Nothobranchius furzeri: one gene and its partners. The protein of the gene in region 2 purifies or fractionates together with the protein of the main gene of each other region. This does not show direct contact. Links are inferred from orthologs where the notes say so. Each region holds a gene or a part of one and is shown on either strand. Other genes may lie near its edges.

Region 1 (7,731 bases), on a different chromosome or scaffold from region 2:
GTTCCATGAGCAAACTTGTTGAGCACAGGTCTGTCTAATCCTGTCTCTTCCCTTTGCTAGTAGGTGTGAGGAGGGCTGACCAGAATAAGGTGTCAGCCCTCCAAAGTCGCTCTCCTTCTCGAAAAAGTGGAGCCAAAGTGACGGCCAAACATCCTAGGCCTGCTCCGCTTCACGTCACTGTTAGACGCAAGCCCACAGGTGAACACTTTTCACCATGCATCAATGCCACAAATAGAGAGAGATCCTCAGTGATTTTTGTTAAAAGTTCTGCAGTGTCTCTACAACTCAGTTTGTTAAAATAGATGCAAATTTCTAGAAAAAATTGGATTTGAATTCTGAATTGTTGATCTCTCTTTAGTTTTTGGCTCATGGAGGAATCAAGAAAAGTGCATTGTAGCTGGCAAACATCTCGTGCTGCCAATCCATTTTTAAAAACGTGTACATTTTCAACTCAGCTGCTGTCATTTTGGTCTTGTTGGTGAAAAAATTGCCCACATTCATATTCTATTATGCTCAGTTTTGCTTTTCTTTGCTAATTGTTGATATTTAAGGCGTGAAACTGTATATCTTTATGGATTTCAACTTCTTGCACACTGTGAAACAAATTCTTGGCCTTCTATTTTTTTTCTTTCTTCCTTTCTCAATTCATTATGTGTACTCTGTTTATGTGCATGTGTTACTCCAGTACATGTCTCCCCCTGCTGGTTGATATTGACATGCTTCTTTTTACCTCTCAGGTGTGGACCACCATCAGCCGCTCAGTGTGTCCAGAGAGAGGCCCACTGTAAGTATACAACCTCTTTAAAAGACTTTTAAGTCTTCTTGTTCGGCTAATTTAACTAATGTCAAATGTGTGTTTTGGGGGCAATTAAATCACAACAGCATCGTCTCAAACATACTTAATTCCCTTGATTGAAGTAAAAAAAATATTTTTTATTTTGACCTCATGAAGTGTCATTAAAATTAGTCCAGTCTTTAAAAAAAGTAAAAAAAAAAACAGGTTAAGGAGGAGAAATTGGTTGTGTGCTTGAGTGGGTTTATTTTAGGGAAATATTACATTAATGGAACACATAAAGTTTTGCAGTGTCTTCATAATTTTCAACTCATCTATTTCTTTCTTTGACTTCCTTGCATGATTATATTGACCCTTGAATTATGTTTGCCCATATTTGTATTTTCTTTCTTTCTTTGTCTTGGTGTCATCATTTTGTTTTGCATGCACTCCATCTCTTTATCTCAGACGCGACAGAGAAAATCTGTGAGTACAGACTTTGCTGTACCCAAACTTCAAAAATCCTCTTCATTTTATTTCCCTAATTCAAGACTCATTTGCATAGTTTGTGTTTCTTCATGAAATATTTTCATTTCTTGTTTCATTTTGCCATCACCTCTTCATCCCATCGGTCATCCAGAGCCCTACAAGGGCTGTTCTATTAAAGATGGCCGCGCAGCGCGTCGGGGGGTCCCATCACCCATCCCCTCGGCCCGGCTTTGCCTGTGTCCTTAAACAAAGCCCTCTCGTGGAGGCGGAGCTTTACGAAGCCCGCTCCTCCTCTGCATGTTCCCTCCCGTCCCCTCTGCCAAACAAAGTGGCGGGGAAGGTAAATTAACGAGGGGCAAAAGGAACTGAGATGTAGCTTTAGCTGCCACGAAGATACTGACTCTTGTTTGTTGATTCAGGAGCGAACGTACCGCAGCCCTGAGAAGAGGTCATCCCTTCCCAGGCCGGCCAAGTCGCTGACTCGCCACATTCCTGCTTCTGAACAAGAAGACAACAGCACCCCCTCTAGGCCAACCTGTAAGATACAATCTACTTTTGTTTATTAATAACTGCGTTACATCTGAATAAAGTCTAAACTCCTGCCCTCGTTCCTCTTCAACCTTCTTGTTCTTTTCCCTCCTACTTTTCGAAGCGATCCGAACCGACTCCAGGGAGAGCAGGTCTGGAAGGGCCCCTAGTATGGCAGGTAGACCACCTGATAGCTTAGCCTCATCACTCTCTTATCATCATCAGCATCAAGTCAACCGCTGTTTCATCAGGAGAAGCTGCCGGTTTTAGAATCAAGTGTACATTCTCAGATTCAGTCATCCAGTCAGAAAGAAAGGTTTGTGTTAGGGATGCAGTGATACCACTTTTTTTCCAAACTGATACTTGGATCCGAGTACTCGCCGTACTGATTACCAACAACGATACTTCTAACACACACCAAAAATGCAGTGAATTAGAATACAAGTTTTATTTTCAATAATAACAGGAAAAGACTGCAAGGCTGATAAAAATTAAATATAATAATAGAAATAATCACAAAACTAAAATCGTAGGTGAACAGAAATTACAAGTTACAGTGAAGCCACTTTCAGGCAGCTGCATTGGTATCAGTATCGGTGCATCCCTAGTTTGTGTTAATAAACTGATTCTTGCAGCTAAACAGCAGGTTGGTGTAAAAACACCAGGTGCGTTTCTCATCCAGCATTTAAAACCCTATTGGTTCTTGCTTTAGTAACCCAGCAACAAGCTGCCAGAGCCGTGTGTGCTCTCACACTTATTGTCAAACATTCGTGTTTGGTCTGGGCTGTTTGAGATTTGAAACTTGAGCTCATTCGATCACAGTTGAGCCGCACATACAGCCGAGGTCAGAAGTTTACATCCACTCATTGTAGACTCAAATGTTATTGAGTGTCCATTTTTAAGGAGGAATGATTGTCTTAACACACAACTTAAATTATTTTCAAAAACAAGAATTAAACACGTCAAAATTATTCATAAAGACATGAATTCCCCAAAAATCTGATATTTCTAGAAGGTCTTAACAAGTTCAAGACAACACTTCCGCATTTACCACATTTACTCTTCTCACGCGCTCGTGCATGTAGCAACGGATCACCACTGGTGTGAGAGGTTCTCCGCTCAGTAATATCAGAGAAGGAGAAACAGCCGGCTGCTACCAGTTCAACTTTAGGACAAACTACTAGAGTCCCTAAAGAAAACTCCGTTTGAAGTCACGGACAACAGAAGATGTTTGGACCTAGAAAATGGTGACTGGTGTTTAGCGCTTTAGCCCACTATTAAAAATGAGTGTCCAGAGTGAAAAGTTTTACATCACCAAAAATAAGCTTAACAGATTTCTTCTGGTGAAATGTTTTATGGTCAGACAAGACAAATATTTTTCTACAATGAGAAGAAATATGTTTGTAGGAGTCAAGGTGAGGACTGAACCAATTGTCGAGTGGTGGTAGCATCATACTGCAGTTGGATAAAGTGGACTGAAGGAGGATCACCTCCAAATTCTTCTCCTGAAACCATCAGATACTAGCCTAGAAATCTAGACTGACCGTAGCTGAAGTAAAAGCTCAAGGACAGAGGATAGCAGCAGTAGCTCTCAAACATTAGTTCATTCAGGTTTGATGGCTTCCAGCATGGACAGCTCTCTTTAACTCGCACCACAGATATTCACTAATATTCAGGTCTGGGGACTGAGATGGTCATTCCAGAACATTCTACTTGTTCCTCTGCATGAATGCCGTAGATGTTGAGCAGCGTTTAGGGTCGTTGTCTTGTTGAAAGATCCAGCCCCGCTGCAGCTTCAGCTTTGTCACTGATTCCTCGACATTGGTCTGCAGAATCTGCTGATATTGAGTGGAATCCATGCATCCCTCAACTTTAACAAGGTTCCCAGTCCCTGCACTGGCCACACAGCCCACAGCATGATGGGACCACCACCATGCTTTACTGTAGGTAGCAGGTGTTTTTCTTGCAATGCTGTGCTCTTTTTCCTCCATGCATAACTCCCCTTGTTACGCCCAAATAACTCGGTTTTAGTTTCATCAGTCCTCAGCACCTTGTTCCAAATGAAGCTGTTCAGATGTGCTTTAGCGGCTCTGTTTGTGCTGTGGGAGGAGAAAACGCTTCCTCTGCATCATTCTCACATACAGCATCTCCTTGTGTAAAGTGGACTGAATAGTTGAATGATGGACAGTGACTCCATCTGCAGCAAGATGATTTTGTAGGTCTTTGGTGCTGGTGTGTGGGTTGACTCTGATTGTTCTCCATTCTTCACTTCTGTTTATCTGAGATTTTTCTTGTTCTGCCACTTTGAGTCTTAACTAGAACTGTGCCAGTGGTCTTCCATTTCCTCGGTATGTTCCTAACTGTGGAAACAGACACCAGAAATCTCTGAAACAACTTTCTGTATCCTTCCCCTAAACCATGATGGAGAACCATCTTTGTTTTCAGCTCATGTGAGAGTTGTTTTGAGACCCCCGCGTTGCTGCTCTTCAGAGAATATTCAAAGAGGAGGGAAATTTACAATTGGCCCCCTTAAATACTCTCTCATAACTGGATTCACCTAGGTCAAGGGTCACTGAGCTTTCCAAACCAATGTAGAATTCCAACAGTGGCCAAATGTATGCACCTGCCTAATGTTGTTTATCTATCTATCTATCTATCTATCTATCTATCTATCTATCGATCTATCGATCTATCTATCGATCTATCGATCGATCTGTCTATCTATTCTGTCTATCTATTCTGTCTGTCTATGAATGATGGCTTGCCAGGCTAATGAACACGTTGTTCTGAGAGGACAGTGTTGCTGAACATCAGGAATAGTTTACACAAAGCTAACATGAGGCATCTGTAATGACCTTCCCATTGGCCCTACTTGTTTATCAATGACAAGTCTTTCCCAGGAAACCAAAAAGTTTCAACAAACTACCAATTCTGTCAAGTAGGTTGGTCCAATGTCAACCAGAAGTACGACAGAAGATTGTTGATGGTTACAAACGTGTTTGGTTAGAGTTCAACTTGGTATGTGACTATTGACTGCATGGTGATGCAGTTGTTAGCACTGTTGTCTTGCAGCTAGAAGGTTGCAGGTTCAAAACTCAAAAATAAAATTATTCCTTACTAATTAATGAATTGTTCTAACTGATTGTCATGGGCCCAAGCTGAATGGCATTAAAACTACAACTTTCTCCTTCCATCCATCATCACAAGAATTGAACTTGATTACAAACATTTTCCATCTTCATTCTCTTTAATGTTCGTTTCTCTTCCAAGGCACAGACTCAACCCGTTCCAGGTCAGTCCGTAGCGGCGCCTCCACTCCAGGCTCAGCCGTGACACCCGGCACGCCCCCCAGCTACTCTTGCCGTACCCCTGGATCTCGCACCCCTGGTAGCCACACCCCGAAATCCTTCAGCGTCCTCCAGGAGAAGAAGGTGGCGGTGATCAGAACTCCGCCCAAGTCCCCGTCCTCCATCCAGCGGCAGCTAAAGGTCCTCAACCAGCCCCTGCCTGACCTGAAGAATGTGAAGTCCAAGATTGGGTCCACGGCCAACATCAAACATCAACCAAAAGGAGGACAGGTAGAAGGAACATGCTAAAACATGCTGGATTTATTAAACCCTGCTTGTGTGTAAGGACCACTAGGGTGTCCTGTTGGACATCTGTGGAAAGGGCTTGTGTTGGCCGTTTCTTCTACTTAGATTTGGGGTAGAACAGGGGTTTTGGTCCATGATGACATGATAGCATCACTGCAGCACAACCATGATAAGAAGACTAGACATGGTTGTGGGTGAAAATCCCAGAAAATAAGCAGTTTCAGGAATAGTCGGACCAAAACCCATGCCAAGTCCAAAGTTCCTTAAATCTCTTTCCTGTAGCTTTGCAATAACTAATTTGAAGTCATCTTCACCACGTCTAAATGCCTGAATGTGTTGACTGATTAGTTTTAAACAATTAGAGACGTGCTTAACCATGTGATCATTGAGTGTGTACCTAAACCTGCCACAGGGGGACAGTAACGTACAAACCCACAGTCTGCACCTCAACAACAGTATTTTCTTCCAAAAGGATAAAGGAACATTGTTTTTCGTACAGTTTATATGGATTTAAAACCATCTAAACACTTTGAGGATAAACATTCATATTTTAATGTCATTATCTACAATTATATGTATTTTGTGCAAGATTTGGGGCATTTTTTAAACAATGTTTGGGATTGCTATGTAGAAATATGTTGGAATACTGAGATATTTGTCTTCAAGTGCTCACTCTCACTCACAATCATATGTATTCCTGCATTCTGTGGCTGTGTGTGTTTCCTGTGTTTGCTGCCATCTTCGTCAGGCCAGATGAAGCTTCATGTCCTGCCTCGAGCCTCTTCCCTTTCCCTGTCCCTCCATCTTCCTTCTCCTTATTTCTATTCCTATGTTTCCACCTCAGCGGAGGAGGATAGACTATACTGGGAATGTACTTCTAAATATAACAACTCAAAACAGTCATCTGTCTAAAAATAACCTTCAAAATTCTCATTGGCTCTAAATTGCTGAATCGGTTTCCTATAAGAGCTTTTGTTCAGTTTTTCTTTCTCCAGCATTGAGTATTTATAATATAGCAAATGCAAATATAAAAAAGACCTCTTATTGTAGCTTTTGACCCTGTTTGGTGTGATTAAAAACTACCGTAGGGTAGGGGTTGTACGAACTAGTCGACTAGTCGACTTCACGGCTCTGTAGTGACTTTTTATGCCTGTCATCAACTAGTCGCTGTCACGTGATAATGACTGACAAGATGCAGTCCTCGGAAAAGACAGCAGGTGATGAGCCCCTGCGCGTCTGGATCGAGGCGGAGGCGACGCGCTGTGCGGTACTGACACCGGCGGTAAAACGGACATTTAACCAAACTGTGATGTTTTCCCTCTTGCAATTTAACCTTCCCCTCACCCCCATCCTAATCTTAACCAGTTTGCGCATGCAAAGCTCTGATCGTTGACGTGCGCTCTAGACATTGCGTCCTGAGCACCGCCAAATCAGGTGTCACCACCTCAAAAACAAATTAAACACGCGATCGTTCATGTCGGCTCATTTCCTTTCATGTTTTCTGTCTGTTATTTGTGCCTGATGCGCTTTGTTGCTGCGGAGCGAGGCGCATCAGCTGTTGACCTCCGATGACGCACCCCCAAGATTCCACTATCTCCACTCCGCTCCGCTCCGGCATGAACTCCGCAGCAAAAACGGTCCCGTTGTAGTCAGCCGGCGAGCAGCGGCACTCCGCTGTTTTTGTGGTCGGTAGATCTTTTAGAACTGCAGTTCAAAGGTAACTCATAAGGTGAATATATATGAACCCAGGTAGCAGTTTTTCTTTAGGGATTGAGATGAAATGCAGGAAGATAATAAACAGGCAGGACAGAAAAATAGTCAAATAAAAACAAGTTAGTTTTTGTACCTGCTGGTTGCAACAAACAGACACCATTGAAGGTAATCAGAAGTGAGGAACAGAAAATGAAATAATTATTTTAATGTTTAGAGCAGCAGGAACTCCGAGAGGCTGCAGGCGCATCAGTGAGTTTGCGGCTGCTGCGCAGGGGGAGGGGGGAGAGGGCTGAAGCAGAAACTACCGTTGTTAAAAGAAATGTGTTTAACTTTGAAAATGTGGGCGCAATTTTAATTGTCAAAAACTCCAGCGAACCTACCGACCCCCCCCCCCCCCGCCGCCGCCGCCGCTTCCGGCGTATGACGTCATCAACGACTAGTCGAAGTCGACTCGACTTTCATTACTTGACTGTCGACTTTAAAAAAAAGAAAGTCGTGCAGGCCCTACCGTAGGGACAGTTCACGCTAAAGTGTAAAATGAATTCCTTAAAGAAGGTGATGTTTTGAGTCTATCTTTGCCTTTAGGCTGTTTGATAGCATGTGAGTCTTATTCAAATAGTGTCCTTTATTGTAACT
Region 2 (7,831 bases):
GCTCATTGTTAGCGTTAGCTACTGCAGGGTTGTTTATGACAGTTGTAATTCCACTTTGAACCAATAGGGCAGAGAAGCTGGAAACTGTTTGGTGTTACGTTAACAGACAAAGTTGGAGGAAAACCATATTTATTTAAGTTAGCAACATTTAGCTTTTTGTGCGTCACAGTTCTACAACTGTAGCAGAAATCTCCTTCAATTTCACACTCACCTGTGCAGGATTCTCCCACTTTTTGAGGAAGTCCTCTTTGGCTTTAGCAAGGAATTCCTTGACTGTTGAATTAAAAAAAAGGGAAAAGCACAAAATTCATAAGAAAAAAATTTGATGTTTGCAGATTGAGTAACTAAACATAACACCCAAAACATTGTAAGATACCACCCCTGATTTGTCCGTAAAATTTTTATCTAGAAGAGCAGTTTTCAAATGATGATTTCATTTGTTTAGAGAAAAAAAGCTATTCAAACCAGCCTGGTCCTTTGTGCAAAATTAATCTTCCCTCTTGTTAAATCACGAATTTATTGAGTTTAGTTTACCAAGCCACACTCAGACCTGATTACTATCAGATATGTAGATTTAAATCTCTTATTCACTCCTTATTTCGATACACTGTGGTCTCTGGTATAAATAACACAAGCTTGAAGGAGTTCTGCTATGTTGTTGAGTTGCTAATGCTAACCATAGACAGGAATACGTAGAATCCCCTTTTGGCTACTGGAGAGTGCTACAGCGTTGCCGCCATATTGGATGGGAGGTTCTTACTCTACGAAACCAATTGGGAGTCAATGCATAGCAACTATGCCCATTTTTTTGTACAGGCTATGGTTGCAACAACTGGCGAACTATTGAAAACAGATCACATAGGAACTTTCTGGGACTTTTCTAGCCTACAAGTGTTGGAGTTATACATTTTTATTTGTTTTATGTCATTATATTTATTTTTTAACTACTACACCATACTATATATCTGGAATGGAGACCCGTCCAAGATGGCGGCCGGCCATTACAGCAGCTTCAATAGGCAGCGCCAGTTCACAGGGCGTCTACGTACAGTGGGTACGGAAAATATTCAGACCCCCCATCGATTTTTCACTCTTTGTTATATTGCAGTCATAAAATTCATTTTTTCCTCACTAATGTCCACCCATATTGACAGAAAAACACAGAATTTTAGAAATGTCTGCAGAGTTAATAAAAAACACGAACTGAAATATCACATGGTTCTACGTATTCAGACTGAGACTAAATCAACAACAGCCTTCCCCGTCAGGACCCAAGATGAGTGAGTCCATGAATGCTAGTTTACAGTGTGACGTAAATCTATGTGACTCTTTCTAACCCAAGTGGTTCCCATCTGTTTTCTATCGGTAGCTAATGTCGGAAACAGTGGTAGAAAACTATTTTCACGTCCAGCATGCATGTGAAAGTCAGAATGTCAAATCGTATTTCAAAAACATTGAGCAATAAATGGGTTCTCAGTGAACCTGCTTTTTAGGAAAATTCTTACTTTCAGACAAAAGAAAGTTGACTGAAGGATCTCAAAAAGCAACATAACCTGCCCTGTTTTAAAGAAAATATAACACAAAACAGCATCTAAAACACTACAGGCCTGGCTTGGTTAAGGTCAAAATTCATAATTCAACATAAGAAAAAGCTGAAAAAAAAATTGCATTATGAGAGTTCAAATGAAGGCAACTGGACTTCTTTGGTTTCTTGAAGATGTTTCGCTTCTCATCCGATGAACTTTGTCAATTCTAACTGGACTTTCGGAGAGTCAAGCTTATAACCCAACAGACATACCATATGTAGGCCCCCCTTGGATTGGTGCTGTCTTTATGGTGTCTAAAGCTTAGGGCACACCGGAGACAGACGCGCCACATCGCGGCTGCGCTATCATTTTAAATGGAGGCCATTATAGAAGAGGATAGGAAAAATGGTTAAGGGAGCTTCGAATCCTTCTTTCAGTAGGAAAGAACAACCATGAATCTTGCCATGTGGTAAATAGCAGCTACACGGGGGGGGGGGGGGGGGGGGGGGACGTCCGATTTGTAATTGTAATTACAAATTTTTACAAACTCATACGTTTCAAAATTTGACAGGTGTGATCGAAACACACATCTTTACTTTTCATTTAAATTGAAGTGCAACATGTGTGCAATTCAGGGCGTCAGGCAAAGCAGATTAAAAAATAGCTTTTTTAGCCCCATTGACTGAAAATGGAGATTAGTGGTGCGTTCCAGTTGTCGTCAGAACTCGTTTTTCTGAGGTAAGTTAACCGGAAATGACGCATTAAACTCAGAATTCTGAGCTGCGAGCTGGTAGGTTTCAGAGGACCCAAGATCACAAATTTTAAGATGTCCAGTGCTACCAGGAAGTAGTTTTCAGCTTTATTTTTTTCTCATTTATATGTTCTGTTTTTTTTTTTTACAGAACCGAGTAGTTGTTTATTGTTGTTATCAATTGTTATGTCGTTAAAAATTTCAACATTTCTGCCTAAATTGACCGGTGTCACTTTTCCTGGCGTTTCTACATCTTATTTGTAATGTTTTTCAGGTTGTATGTGGCAACTGTCGATGGGGGTGTGTGTCACTATTATTTAGGTGCACAGAATACTTGGTAAGTTCTTTTGTTGAAGTTCTTTTAGTACTCAACAACACTGGTGGTGTCCATTATTTTGTGTTGGAAGCCTGAATGCACGCTGTTACACTCCCCAGAGCCCAATGGGTCATCTAAGTATTCATGTTTATAGTTCCAAGGCCAGAACCTCAGCAGATTAAAAAAAGAACACAACTAAGACCCATCTCACATTTGCCAAAGGCATCATGATCTCCCGGGCTTTTGGCAAAATATTTTGTGGACTGACCAAATGAAATTCAAACTTTATGGAAGGTGTGCAACCCATTAAATCTGGTGTAAAATTAAATGTCAGTGAAAGAGCATCATGGTCAACCATGGTGGTGGTAGTGTGATGTTTAGGGCTTCGCTGCTTCAGCACCTGGACCACTTGCTGCAACGGATGCAAACATGAATTCTATCAGAAAATCTTGAAGGAGTTTGTAGCCTTTGACCTTAAAGCTGCATCAGCTGTTGTCACCAAAGGTGTTATCCCCAATTAAACAGTTTTCACATTAGCCTGGCCTGCCAGACTCATCCTCTGTTTAATTCTACACAGAGAACTTCCCATAAGGAAGCATGCGGCTGGCTGCAGGCTATTTTCACATAGAGCCAGACAATTTCCCCCCACCTTGATGAATTAAATCAGATACTGAAATTAGCAGAGTCTGAAACATCTAAATTTGACCCCAAAAGCAAAGACTGTAGAAATCTGTAAAGAGGTAAATACTTTTTCCCAGCCCCACACATCGTCTATCAAATTAGTCAAAGTAAATCCAGTTTTATTTAGTAACAGGATTGCTGTAAACGTGAGTAAAACTTACAGCACAACAACACACAAGAATAACATCCAAAGCAGCGATTCTGAGCCAAAATATTCACGCTTCATATTGAAGAATGTATATTTTTCATGTTTCCAATGTGCAGGTTGTTTTTACTGCGCCCTGAGGTACAAAGGTTGTGGTTCTTAATGAAAAGTCACGTAATGTCAACCTAAAATGTAGATTTATAAAACACAATCGCTTTGATTGCCATCGCTTTCTCATCAGTAGGCTTCCATACTTTTGTTTATTTGATAGACCAAATTATATCCCTTAGCCAATCAACACTAAATGCCCCCCCCCCCCCCCCCCCCCATGTTTGCAAGAAGTCTTGACAATACATCCCTCCAAAGAGCAACAGGCACAGAGTGTTCAGGAAATATCTGACACATAGTTTGTTGCAGTCTTGCCAAGATCCGAGTACAAGAGGAAGTGAGGATGCCAATATTACTGCAGCTTAAGAGTGGTTGTTTTGCAGTTAATTCTAGCTTTGCATCCTCAGTTAAATGCCCTGTAGCAGGAAATCTTGAGTTTTATTTAGAGATCTCAATAACATATTTGAAATGATGAAGAACTTGCAGCCATCGCTGCTGGTATGGGGTTCATGTCAAATAACATCCTAATTCGCTTGTAAGGAGGACATCATGTGGATGGTATTAAATGAAAGCATCGTGAGGAAAGGCCGCTGTGTTGCAGGTTTTGTAAAGCTAACATCGCCTGCCGTGTCACGTTGTCTCTGATCATCTCGTGAGGATGTAACGGATCAGGATACCCACCGCTTTCCATCTCGCTGCCCTTTCTTGCCGTGGGCGCGTTGCCCATGATGACAACCTGTCAACAGGCAATCCGCGGCGTTCCGGCCGCCCTGCAGCCTCCTCAAGTCGGTCAAATCTCGATCTGGACGGTGTTTTCCTGAATCCAGCAGCAGCACGGAGCGTTCACTCCGAGGTCTTGCTCTTTAGTAGCCTGACAGCTGCTAATGCGGCGCCACGTTAGATAAGCGGGTTCGCTCCCTCCCACGGTCACCCGCAGCCGCTGGCCAGCATCGGATTTAAATCCACGTTGAGCTGGGGCTTCGCCGGAGCTTCAGGGTTGAGCTCGGAGGCAGCTGGCCTGGACACGGAGGATACAGTCTCCACCTGACCCTCCTTGCAGCCCCCGCCGAACGGAGCTCCCCTCCCCGGCTCTCCACCACCTCTCCCAGCCTATAAAAACAACAATACCAGCGGAGAGGGAGCAATGTTCTCAATCGAAAGCGTCTCGCTTGTTGTCAATAAAACCAGCTTAGCAAAATTTTAGCCTCAGCGGGGTCCGACAACGACAGGTATTCACCCAAATCAACATCGGGCCCCCGTAGCCTCGGAGACCAGCGAGATGACGGAACTACAGCGGAGCGAACGTCCCGCCTACTTGCTTAAACCAGCGTTGAATGACAGCTCGTGCTTACGTCGATGATTGGCCACTTTATCAGAGCGGTGACCAACAGTTTACTGTGATTGGCCAACTGCAGCCGTCAATCAACAACAGCAGCTTCCCACCGCCCAACACAACGCGAATGAGGGCAACGTCACAGAATATTTTCCTCCCGACAACGACTCCGCCCACTTTTTGTGATCCGGCCCTTCTATTGGCTAGATACGGACGGACCGTGGGAATCTCAGCGAACACGAGGACGCCCATTGGCTGTCACCAGTGATTGACATAAATACCCTCCTCCTCTACTTCGCTCTTTCCCGCTGCTGAGCGACTGTTACACGTTTGGCTGAGTGACGTCAACCGTGAGTCTATTTTTAGAAATGTTGGTCAGAATTTAACGCACGCGCGGCGCAGTGTGGCAGCAAAGACATCTAAACATTTCGCAGGCTATTCTGTGAGAAATGAACACAAATAAACAAGATTTTAAAAACTGGTGTTTCATCTTCATCACCCCGCAGCAGCTGGACTAGAGAGCAGCGGACCAGGGGTCCTTTTATCATCAGCATCATCAAAAGCTCCGATTCGCAGATTTGCATTAGAATGCCCCTTTGATTTAACGTAAGCTTGTGTTGGTAGGAAAAAATAAATCAAATCTATAAATAGATCTCATAGCATCCTCATCACTTTGACTCTGAAGCCACATTTTTTACAGCACAACCAATTAACCAGCTATATTCTTTTCCACATTTGATCTCAGGTGCTGTAAAACCATGCCAAATGACTGTCAACGTTAGGCAAAAGTGGCAGCTCTTCAAATTAAATAAAGATGCAACAAGCAGATGTTTGGCAATATTTACCAGATCGATTTGCAGCTGATCAGCTTATTTTTAGCTCTTAAACCCTGCTGCATGTTTACATAATGCTGCATTCGGAGTGCATCCAATTCTGATTGCTGCTGTTTCGGTTGTTTTAAACAGGGCAGATGTGAGAAGCAGACAGAGGTAACAGATGGATTGAAGGGGGAGTTACTCACTGATCGGTATAAAATGGTCGAGAGCAGACACACCCCTCCCTTCTCTCTTTTTTGCAGCAGTTGCCTGGCAACATGAGGCTAGAGTGGAGATAGAGTGATGCTGCTGCATTTTATGAATGAAATTGGAAAAAAGAAGGTGGTGGGGGGGGGGGGGGGGGGGAGTAGTGGGTTGATGCGCACCAACACGTGCCCCGAGTCTTCCCTGTTTGTCACAGATTTTTTTTCTCCACACAAGTCTGAAATCAGACCAAGTGAGCATTAGAAATCAGAGCAAAATCAACAAAACCAAACTTTATTAACCTTGTTGCTTGTGCACAGTAAAAGGCAGAGGATATATGAGAAGTACAAAGTGAAACGTCTGCTTTTGAAGACAAAGCGGGTCATAGGAATACATTTACAGTAAAAAAGCCCTTCAATGACAGCAAACACACCCCGAACCCAAGTTCTGATCGTTTCCCTTGAAAAGATGCATCAATCGAAGATTTGGGTTTAATACGGTACGTGATGTAGAAAAGTCCCAAACAAAGCCCGTCACTTTGTGGATTTACTCTGCAATACCAGTCAAACAAATGAACAAAAGATTTCTAGAGTTGCACCAACTCAGATTTTGTGTTAATAATTATTGTGAAACTTTTACCAGCTGATCCCCGATTCTGAATCATCCACAACAAATAACATTAGGAAAATACATGAATTAATCACTTCAAATGCTTAGAAAACTTTCCAAAGATTGGTTTCTGAATTATTTTATCATTTGCTAAACCTATTCACACTGAACACTGTAACAGAATTTGAAACTGAGAACATAATAAAAAAATAATAAAATAATCACTAGACATTCGGCTCATATGCCTCATGGCTGTGGCGAGCCTGTTGGCAACTTAAAACTTCTCAAGATGAACCTTTTTGATTATTTAAGGCAGATCTGAACGAGCACACAAGGAAGCAAAGCTGGCAATTATTCCGTTCTCACCTGAAGAGCCAAATACAAATAATGTCCACGCTGCAATACTGAAAATTCTCTTTAATGTCCACATTTCACTAAAAGAACCATCCATGGCCTTTGGTTGAAATGTGTGGTTGCGAGGTGGCTGAGTACTTGTTGGGAAGAGCTTCTTGTCCATCATAGGAATCTTTAGACCCTTACATGCAGTCCATGGAGTTGTCCGGCATCTGTGCCAGAGGGGGCATCTTTCCCGGTATACAGGATGGCGGGAGCATGCCACTGGTGTTAGATGGGTCAACATTCTCACAGTCCTCCATCTTATCTGCCATGCCCTCCCAGTTAATGTGGAAGCGAGTTACACGGGGGTTTGAGGCCAAAATGTTTCTCTGGAGCTACAAAAGAATTTAAAAAAATTCAAAAAGACAGGAAGTCAGATTTAATAGTCATTTTTAGGTCTTTTTGTTCAGATATAAATATTTGTAGCATCACAGTAAAGAACGACTAGATACAAACACTTCAGATCATCATTTCAATTACTTTTCTAGCCATTAATTCCTGACAGTTAAAATGCTGACAGTTTAATAGACCCAAGCAACATCAGCTCCATCATACTTTTAGAGACCACATGGAGCAAAATGCCCGTAATCCTGTTTATAGAAACAAACTAAAATTCTGTTATAGAAAGCTAGAGAAAATAGTGTTCTGATAACACCAGACTTGGGCTCTTGGCGCTGTCTCACTGCCATCGCCTTGTGGGGTGCCACTTGTAAAGTCAAACAATCATAACAGTATTTTGGGTTATTTAGCCCATCATAAGAGAAATAAAATGGGAGTTTATTTTTCAAAGTCATATTTTCATTATGTTACTCACACATTTATAAATGTTAAAGTTCCCAACTAAATATTTTGTTAGAAATCTAAGTATTTCATTTAGTTATTTTTAAACTAAATATTTAGGCCAGACTTAAACATTTAGCTTGCAAAATCAATATTTAGGTTCAGCT
Region 3 (7,831 bases), on a different chromosome or scaffold from region 2:
CTGCATCTCATATAATTAAAAACACTCTGTATTACAACGCAGGTAAAACAGCGACATCAGAAATATGGTTAACACATTCACTTACAGGTGGAAGGGACTCGTACACCTCCGCGGGGTCTAGTCCCCCAGGACCCATGCGTTTCTGTCGTTCTTCTTCTTCATACTCTTTAATGGCCTTTTCGATGCGGATCTTGGCTCTTCCACGGACTCGCTCCTTGAATGACTCCAGCTCATCGTTGAAAGCATCCTGGTACTGCTGGTCTGCTGTCTGGGTGAATAAACATACAAGAAAAGTAACATGAAAGCACTTCCAACATGGAGTGTTTTCAGAAACTTCATCAAAACAAACAAGAATAGATATAATTTTACTTTTTAAAAAAGTATCCCCTTAAAAACGTATGTAATACAAAAGTCCAAACACGTAATAATTACCTTGATCTTTGCAAAAAACTGGCGAAAGCAACCACGGGGGTCCAGTTTGAGGCTTTTGGCCAACTCAAGAATGAACTGCATAACGATGGTCTGATGAGCCACCTGTTCCATCAGAGCATGTTTCTGCAAAACGAAGAGGCACAGAGGCTCATGTTCTAATCAGACAGTGACCATGTAAGACATACAATAGTAGCACGAGATTTCTTTTAAGCTGTTTACCTCCTCAACTTCAAGGTCAATACACATGATGACAAGGTAGTTGGCAGTTTCTTCACATACAAGATGAGGATTGTCAGAGAGGTACTTCTGGCTGTCATCCCAGCGTCGCAGCATGCCTGAGGTTACCACAGCGACAAATCAGCATCTCTATTTTTACTGTCCTACTGATTTGCTCATTTTAATCATGGTTGTCAGGCGGGCTTACCAAAATGTTTGAGCTGCTTTTCGTTCTTCTCCACAAAAGTTTTATGTTTTTGCTCCTTCTCCTCTTCTGTCTCTTCAGAAGGGTCTGGTTTGACGTTAACAATGCTCTAATGAAGACAAACAAAACACCGTTAATAGATGACGACTGCATTCAAATGCATTTTATTGCATCGTTCTGTAAGTTAACGGCATGTTAGAATGTTGTATATAAGCTCTAAATATTCAAAAATAACACACTTCATATAAACCTTGATTATGTTTATTTACAATTAAAGGATGATTTTAGTTTGTATTTTCAGGAGATTGTATACAAGCTACTCCCAACAAAAAAATGACCAACATTCATGCTGAGCATCAAACTAGACTGATTTTAAACATGAAATTGGGGGAAAAAAATATTGCCATCAAACCGCTGAGACAACTATTGATTATAAATTGACAGGTCTGCCAACATTGATACCAGTGGATGCAAACCAATACTTTCTATTTCGCAGTAAGCTGTTGCCTGATCCTAGTCACCTTGCTGAAACCATCTCTGCTGAGTGTGTCCACGTTCCACGGCATCTTCTTCTCCTCTCTGTTGTATTCATCCAACTTCCTCTCCCAATCTCTCTCCTCCTTTTTCAATTTCTTCTCCTCAGCCTGGACTTTGCTCAGCTCTGCTTTGGCCTCACCCGACACATTTAGCTCTTGCAGTTTCTTTTGCGTCTCAGTCAGCTTGCGCCGACATTCTTTCAGGCTCTTGTTGATGTCTTCTCCTTTTTTCTGGAACTCTTCCATTCGATCCACACGTGCCTGAAATGGGATGATGCCAATCACAACTGGAGGTACAAAACTTTTACAATACACTTTGTTACAAGTTTTGTAGGCTTAGTAATTCACTACAGCTACATAAACAGGTTTGCTAGGAATTAGCATAGGGAGAATGTTGTTTGCAACACCAAACTGAGTCTAGGACGCCAGCTAACCAAAGTACCAGTCCGAAGTTAAAAGAAAATCAAAACTCAGTCACGTTATAAATCAAAAAGGTACCTGGTGTCTCCATCTGAAGAGGCTGGGTGTGTCAATGTTTGGGTGGGTATCATCTTCATCGTCCGAGACCTCAATGTGATCCCACACGCTGTAATCTATCCTGGACATCCTGTAAACCAGAACCTAGCTTGTTTTAAGAGTTCGATAATTTCAATTAAAACTCTCGGAAAAACAAATTCAACAACACTCTGACGCTTTCCAAAGTCTCCGAAAGATGTGTTAACTACCAACGGCGCATTAGACTGTAGTCTTATCAGAAGGGAAGGAGCTGGACTGTCTCAGCGACAGTTAGCCAAATGCTGCTACAAAATTCTAGAAAGATTCGCTGCTGCAAGCTTCCGCTACACGCCTAAACGTCATGACGTAAAAGGCACGTATGACGCAGGTGTTGTGGTAAAAAATGCACTCGTATGTGCCTGCGACCGTATGTTAAACTTACTAGAAAAACCAAGTTTTTCACAAACGCACCCCGTTAATAAACAAGTAAAGATGTATGAGTTAAAGTTCGGTTTCGAACAAAGTCTGTTTGACACAAATGCCTATACGAACAGAGGGGCTTTTTCCGGCACAACACCATGAGTTACAAAAGTGAACTGAACAGATTTCCTTCATTTCTTTCTTCGTATTTTTACTGTAGTTACTCAGATTTCTAAACAACCGAAATATCGTTTCCACTATATAGATACCATTTGTGTAGCCTACATAAAAACCATAATGTCTGATCGTGTACCAATCCATCCTTATCCTCATATTATTGCATATAGTTAAACCTGGTTAGCAGCAGATTAGTCAGAATGTTAGTCTGTTGTACAGATTATAAAAGTATTTACATCACAACTATTTTTGTAGTTTCTTTACAAGACGTGACTTCTTTTTCTCCACATTTGTGCTTTGACTTTCTTTTATTTATTAACTTATTATTGTATGCTAAACTGAAAGTACTATAAAATATCAAGTATCTTACACAATTATTTTTCAGCTAATCTAAACATTTCTGTAAAACTTAAAAAAGCAAACTGTTTTTCTCTACCGAATAAAACTATCTTCTTGGACTTTTCCCCCTTGTCAAACATCCACAGACTGAGGCTGTTTTCTCAGCGAGACATCTTACCTTCTTTACTGGACCAAGAACAGAGGCTGAGAGGTCTTGATGATGGTATAGTGTTCAGCTTTTTTTTTTTTTTTTTTTTTCATTTTATTTTTTGTTATTCTTTGGATGGAAAAACCACAAGTAAATGTTTAGATATAAACTAGCAAACGCTTCTCAAGAAACAATAATTAGAGCTGACCCTGAAAGCTGACTGGAGATCCAAACAAGCCAGTATTCAGTATGGCGTCTTAACCAGTGATCATCCAAATACCAAAAATCTGATTGATTTTTCATTAAACATAAACAGCCCAAAATAGTAGTATCAGCTCAGCAGGTCAGGGTTGAAAAAGAAATCTGCATGTTGGCCCTTAAATCCAGAATCAGCTCATCTCTGGAATTGTTAAATTTTCTCTTGTTTCGTTTGCTTTCAGCCCTTCATCCACCCAACATGGACATTCTTATAAGTGCCAGTAAGCATTTTGTTGGACACATTCAATTAGAATAAATCTAAATGATTTCAAGAGTTTGAAACTGGTAATCTCAATGTTTGCACTGTGAAGATGGAACCTCGACGTGATCAATAATTTATTAATGGATGACTTTTGCAATGAATTTTAGTATTTTGTTAGCAATGGTCAGTTTTAAAATAGTATGTGTAATAATAATAGAATAATTGCTCTCTTTATCAATCTGTTTAGGAAGCTTCTAAAGAAGTAATGACTGAAGGATGAAAGTTGGTGTTAGGATGGTGTAATATGGAACATATTATTGCCACACATGAGATTGTTTTTAGAAATTAAATGTTTCTGAAAATACTTACAGTGTGTTCTATATGTGCATTACTCACAAGCATGATGATAAAAAAACCTATTTTTACAGACCTGAACAGGGACATGAAAACACACACAAATAGACAAAAATATAGATCAGTTAAATGTTTTACCTGGTGATCGTGAATCGTCACGTTTACATTAACCCAGAGCTCTGAGCAGAATAAACACGAGGAGAGCTGGGACCACTTTAATATAAATATCAGGAGTTTAGTTTGGGTCTGCCACCAGAATCACAGTCAAGATGTCTACTATCAGTCTTTTAATGTATTTGTTTCTGTAAGCAAGCATATTTATAACAGTCTCACGCATGGACGTAATTTTCACTTTAGAAGTGGGGGGGACACGGGTGTGTGTGTGTGTGGGGGGGGGGGGGGGTATCTTTACAGTATGCTCTAATGGGAAACAGGCTTCAACACAAACAGTTGTTTTCCACTTGGTCCTAGAGCTCAACCAGTGTGAATTTAATATAGCGTAAAATTGTTTTTGGATGGTAAAAAGTGCAGGGGTCAAAACTTGACTTTGGAAAAAGTGGGGGGGACATGTCCCCCTGACCCCCCCCCCCCCCCCCCCCAAAATTACGTCCATGGTCTCACGTGATCTTCAGCTCACTGGCATGCAAAGATTCGATCATTTTAACACGATCAGAGGGCGGTGGACATAACCTGGTTGTAGTTAATCACACTGCCAGGGAGGAGTGTTATCTTAAAGCTTTACACGTTTACACGTCCAGTGTTAAGTTTAGTGTGTACTTTTATGATAATTATTATGATACATGTAATAATGAATACATTCCAACGGTAAATGCCAAACACACTGACATTTGATTGAGATGTTTTTATGCGTTGCTCTTGTTCCCCGTTGGTTTGGACTCCCTAAACCCGGAGCAGCAGATGGATTTCCCGGCCTGAGCTTCACAGCACCGCCGCATCTCTCGGATCACATTCTCACACAAACTCTCCGAGTAGTTGTTGGCTGCAGGAGTGGAACGGAGTTATGTGACTGTGGGGTTCGCCCGCTGTCTAGCAGCATTTTCATCTACATTTAATGTACCTTGCAGACACTTTTGAATAGCACATGCCTGTTTTTGACACGGATCTTTCTCCGGCATGCCTGAAAGAAAACGCAGCAATAGTGTAATCAAATTTTAAAGCATCAGGATACCCAAAAGGAGCTAAAAGCCGATTCCCACCTGGACGTCTTAGCTAGTGCGATGCATTCTCCTCTCGCGAGAGTGATCATGTGACGCAACGAGATCTAATCAAATCCGGACAATGAACAACAGCGACCTCTGGTGTTGCAAAGGAATTTGACAACGTCGCCTTGAAAACCTAAATGTAATTCCAAAATGTTTTGCAGTAACCGAACATAAAATGTATTTATAGAATAATTTTGAATATTTTTTTCATTAACTAACCTTCAGAAAGTATAAATTTACATTTTAAAGAAGCCATAATCTTTTGGTGGGAGGTATTTTTCACAAGTACGGAAATTTTGTTTATTTATTTACATTACTCAGAACTGGCACTAATAACTATCAAAATACACGTTTAAAAATCAAACCATAAAAAGAATTTTTTGTTTATTTAACTTTATTTATAAAGATAAGAACATTTAGAAACAGTTCATATTTACAGTAACTTCACATTGTTAGTCATTGGCGTATCAAGGGTAGTTATACTTTGTCAAATTATGATTTTCTTTACTTATTAGATCATTAAAAATATTCTAGTACATATATAATAAGGGAAATTTTATTACATAAAACAACAACAGTAGACTACGACAAAAATCAACCTTCACATAATAAATGGCGTTTGCTAAACATCTTCATTTGTCTTCTTTGTGAGATCTAACTCTGTATGATAACAGAATACATCAAAACATCCACTGATTACTGAATGCTTCCATCTCATGAGGCAGCAGCAATAAAACCTGCTCAGTGAAATTCTTCCAGCTGATTCAAGTCCTGTTAGTGGGCCTTAAACACCTGAACAACAGAAAACAAATTAGGATGCAGAGTTTTACTTGCAGATGTAGTTCCTCATACTTCCCCTTTACCTTTGGTCTTTGCTTTGACAATGAACTGTTTGCTCTTCTTTTCCAGCGTGTTTGAGGCAGCACAGGTGTATGTCCCAGGGAGAAGGGAGGAGGAGGTGATGACTGCTTCCTCCTTCACCCGCTCCTCTATGGGATGGGAGGATTGCCAGCTGTAGGCAGGAGCAGGGTTTCCTGCAGCTGTGCAGTTTAGGGTGATCCCATCACCCTCGGTAAGTTCTAAAACTTCTGTTTCAGGACTGAAAAAAGTTGGGGGAACTAAAAAAAAAAAAGAATGACAGACTTTACGTTTCATTATTGGGACATTTTAGGAGTGAAAGTAGCTTCATAACTCACAGAGGACATAGGCAGTGAGAGGTTCTGAAGACACTGTTGGAGGTGGTTGAGGTCCTTCTGGTCCAAGCTCCAGTTCTGCTACACACTTATACTCTGCCTCGTTCTCAGCTTTGGTTGGTGTGATGACAAGAGTAGAAGACACTTGGACAGGAGAGGAAGATGTGAGGTCAGAGAAGGAGTGTTTGTACACCTCTGTCTGACCTCTGTACCACCTCAGGGTGAGATACTGAACAGGAGCAACGTTCTGAACCTCACAGAGGAGCTGGTACTCCTTCCCCTCCATCATGGGGCCGGTGTGGTTCACCAACCTGATGGAAACACTGTCGGGAGATTCTGAAATGAAGGGGATCAAAAGTTCAGCTCAAACATTCAGCTCTGTCATGAAATTTAAAAATGAGAGGGACTGACTCACTATAGAGAACGAGGTTGAGTTTCTCCTCACACTGTCTCGGAGCTTTGAAAAACACCCCATAGCAGATGGGTTCCTCGATCCAGTCGATAAGACTGTCCACTTTCCACTGGACAGACTGGTCCTCCTGTGTGTGTGGCGTTCCGATGGCCGATTCCCAGCCCAGGACCCGAACCGGGCGTGTAGCTTCACAGCTGACCGACACCGACTCCCCAAACCCCACCACCACCCTGGAGGGCTTGAGAATGAGGGAGCAACCTTCACCTGACACTGAGGCACACGGGGACTCGTGAGCAAGGATTGGTATGGCTAAGCCAGTCAGAGATGCAATAAAACAACTTTTCACTGTTCAGATCAAGCCTGTTCAGTAGCAAAATGACTCATAACCAAACATGTTATGGTGTTCAGATTTTAATCCACAACATGCTAAAATAATCTAAAGTACTTCCCTCTGAAGTTGCAGCTCATTATGGATCCTTTAGTCCACAGATCAGTTTAAAAGTTTCTGAACCCAAATAAATAAAACACCTCATCTTACCTGAACAAAGCAGGCAGGAAATGATAATCCACGCTAGAACGTTCTTTCCCATGGTATTTGTTTAGCACCGAGCCGTCGAAAGAAAGAAAATTCCAACTTGAACAACCTTGGCAACTCTGCAGGGAACGTGGAACAAAACACGGTTCCCTCCCAGCTGACTTAGGGGATGGAGGGGAGGACTGGGAAAGAGGGACATTTAACACAGCCCATTACTTCCCCTTCTGAGATGTTTAGGGATTAAATCAAAAGCTTATAATCGCCTCTGCAAATTTACAACTAGAATATCTGAGATCTTACAGAAAAATCAGCAAACGCTTTGAATATAAGCCGTTGGGATTAACAGAACTCCAGCTTAATGTAAATCTGAATTCCTGACATTCATGTCAAGTAGATTCTTGCCATCAAGGTGGTTTTTATAAAAGCTGGACGACAGACTGGATCTCTTTGCTTTGCAGCTTGTTTCATCCTGCCTCTGGCCTCCACGCTGCTGGACCCCAGCAGGCTGGAGCGCTGCTCTGGTGCTGCATGCAGCTTGTGAGGCTCACACTGTGACCAGAATGCAGCACAGCGCATCGCCTCAGGCCACAACAGTCGCACAAGAAGGCGAGAAATCACATGCTTTTTTAGGGTGTATTTCTGGAGAGGACAGCTGGGAATCTCCACAACCACATTCTCACTTTACT

What was found.
Region 1: the proteins of prkacab (region 2) and microtubule-associated protein 2 purify together in Homo sapiens (affinity purification with mass spectrometry; 3 studies listed by BioGRID and IntAct, with this or other methods). This does not show direct contact. The link is inferred for Nothobranchius furzeri from reciprocal best matches to the Homo sapiens genes PRKACA and MAP2.
Region 3: the proteins of prkacab (region 2) and cdc37 purify together in Homo sapiens (affinity purification with mass spectrometry; 3 studies listed by BioGRID, with this or other methods). This does not show direct contact. The link is inferred for Nothobranchius furzeri from reciprocal best matches to the Homo sapiens genes PRKACA and CDC37.

The regions. Positions count from the first base shown.
Region 1 is NC_091742.1:61,552,087-61,559,817, reverse strand, and holds part of microtubule-associated protein 2, read left to right. Parts: intron 1-60; coding exon 61-198; intron 199-737; coding exon 738-784; intron 785-1,680; coding exon 1,681-1,798; intron 1,799-1,913; coding exon 1,914-1,967; intron 1,968-5,059; coding exon 5,060-5,367; intron 5,368-7,731. UniProt on the Homo sapiens protein: The exact function of MAP2 is unknown but MAPs may stabilize the microtubules against depolymerization. They also seem to have a stiffening effect on microtubules.
Region 2 is NC_091744.1:6,141,865-6,149,695, forward strand, and holds the start of prkacab (cAMP-dependent protein kinase catalytic subunit alpha), read right to left. Parts: upstream 4,479-7,831; 5' UTR 4,255-4,478; coding exon 4,209-4,254; intron 274-4,208; coding exon 212-273; intron 1-211. Other genes in the region: asf1bb (histone chaperone asf1b-B), read right to left, coding at 7,025-7,219.
Region 3 is NC_091745.1:3,427,289-3,435,119, reverse strand, and holds the start of cdc37 (hsp90 co-chaperone Cdc37), read right to left. Parts: upstream 4,646-7,831; 5' UTR 4,631-4,645; coding exon 4,629-4,630; exon of another isoform or gene 4,623-4,628; intron 3,859-4,622; exon of another isoform or gene 3,798-3,858; intron 2,239-3,797; exon of another isoform or gene 1,997-2,238; coding exon 1,888-1,996; intron 1,651-1,887; coding exon 1,375-1,650; intron 963-1,374; coding exon 857-962; intron 768-856; coding exon 652-767; intron 556-651; coding exon 433-555; intron 269-432; coding exon 86-268; intron 1-85. Other genes in the region: cmc4 (cx9C motif-containing protein 4), read right to left, coding at 4,646-4,782, 4,861-4,918; uncharacterized protein, read right to left, coding at 5,790-5,797, 5,869-6,123, 6,202-6,534, 6,614-6,880, 7,149-7,205, 7,255-7,327, 7,584-7,784, 7,831-7,831. UniProt on the Homo sapiens protein: Co-chaperone that binds to numerous kinases and promotes their interaction with the Hsp90 complex, resulting in stabilization and promotion of their activity. Inhibits HSP90AA1 ATPase activity.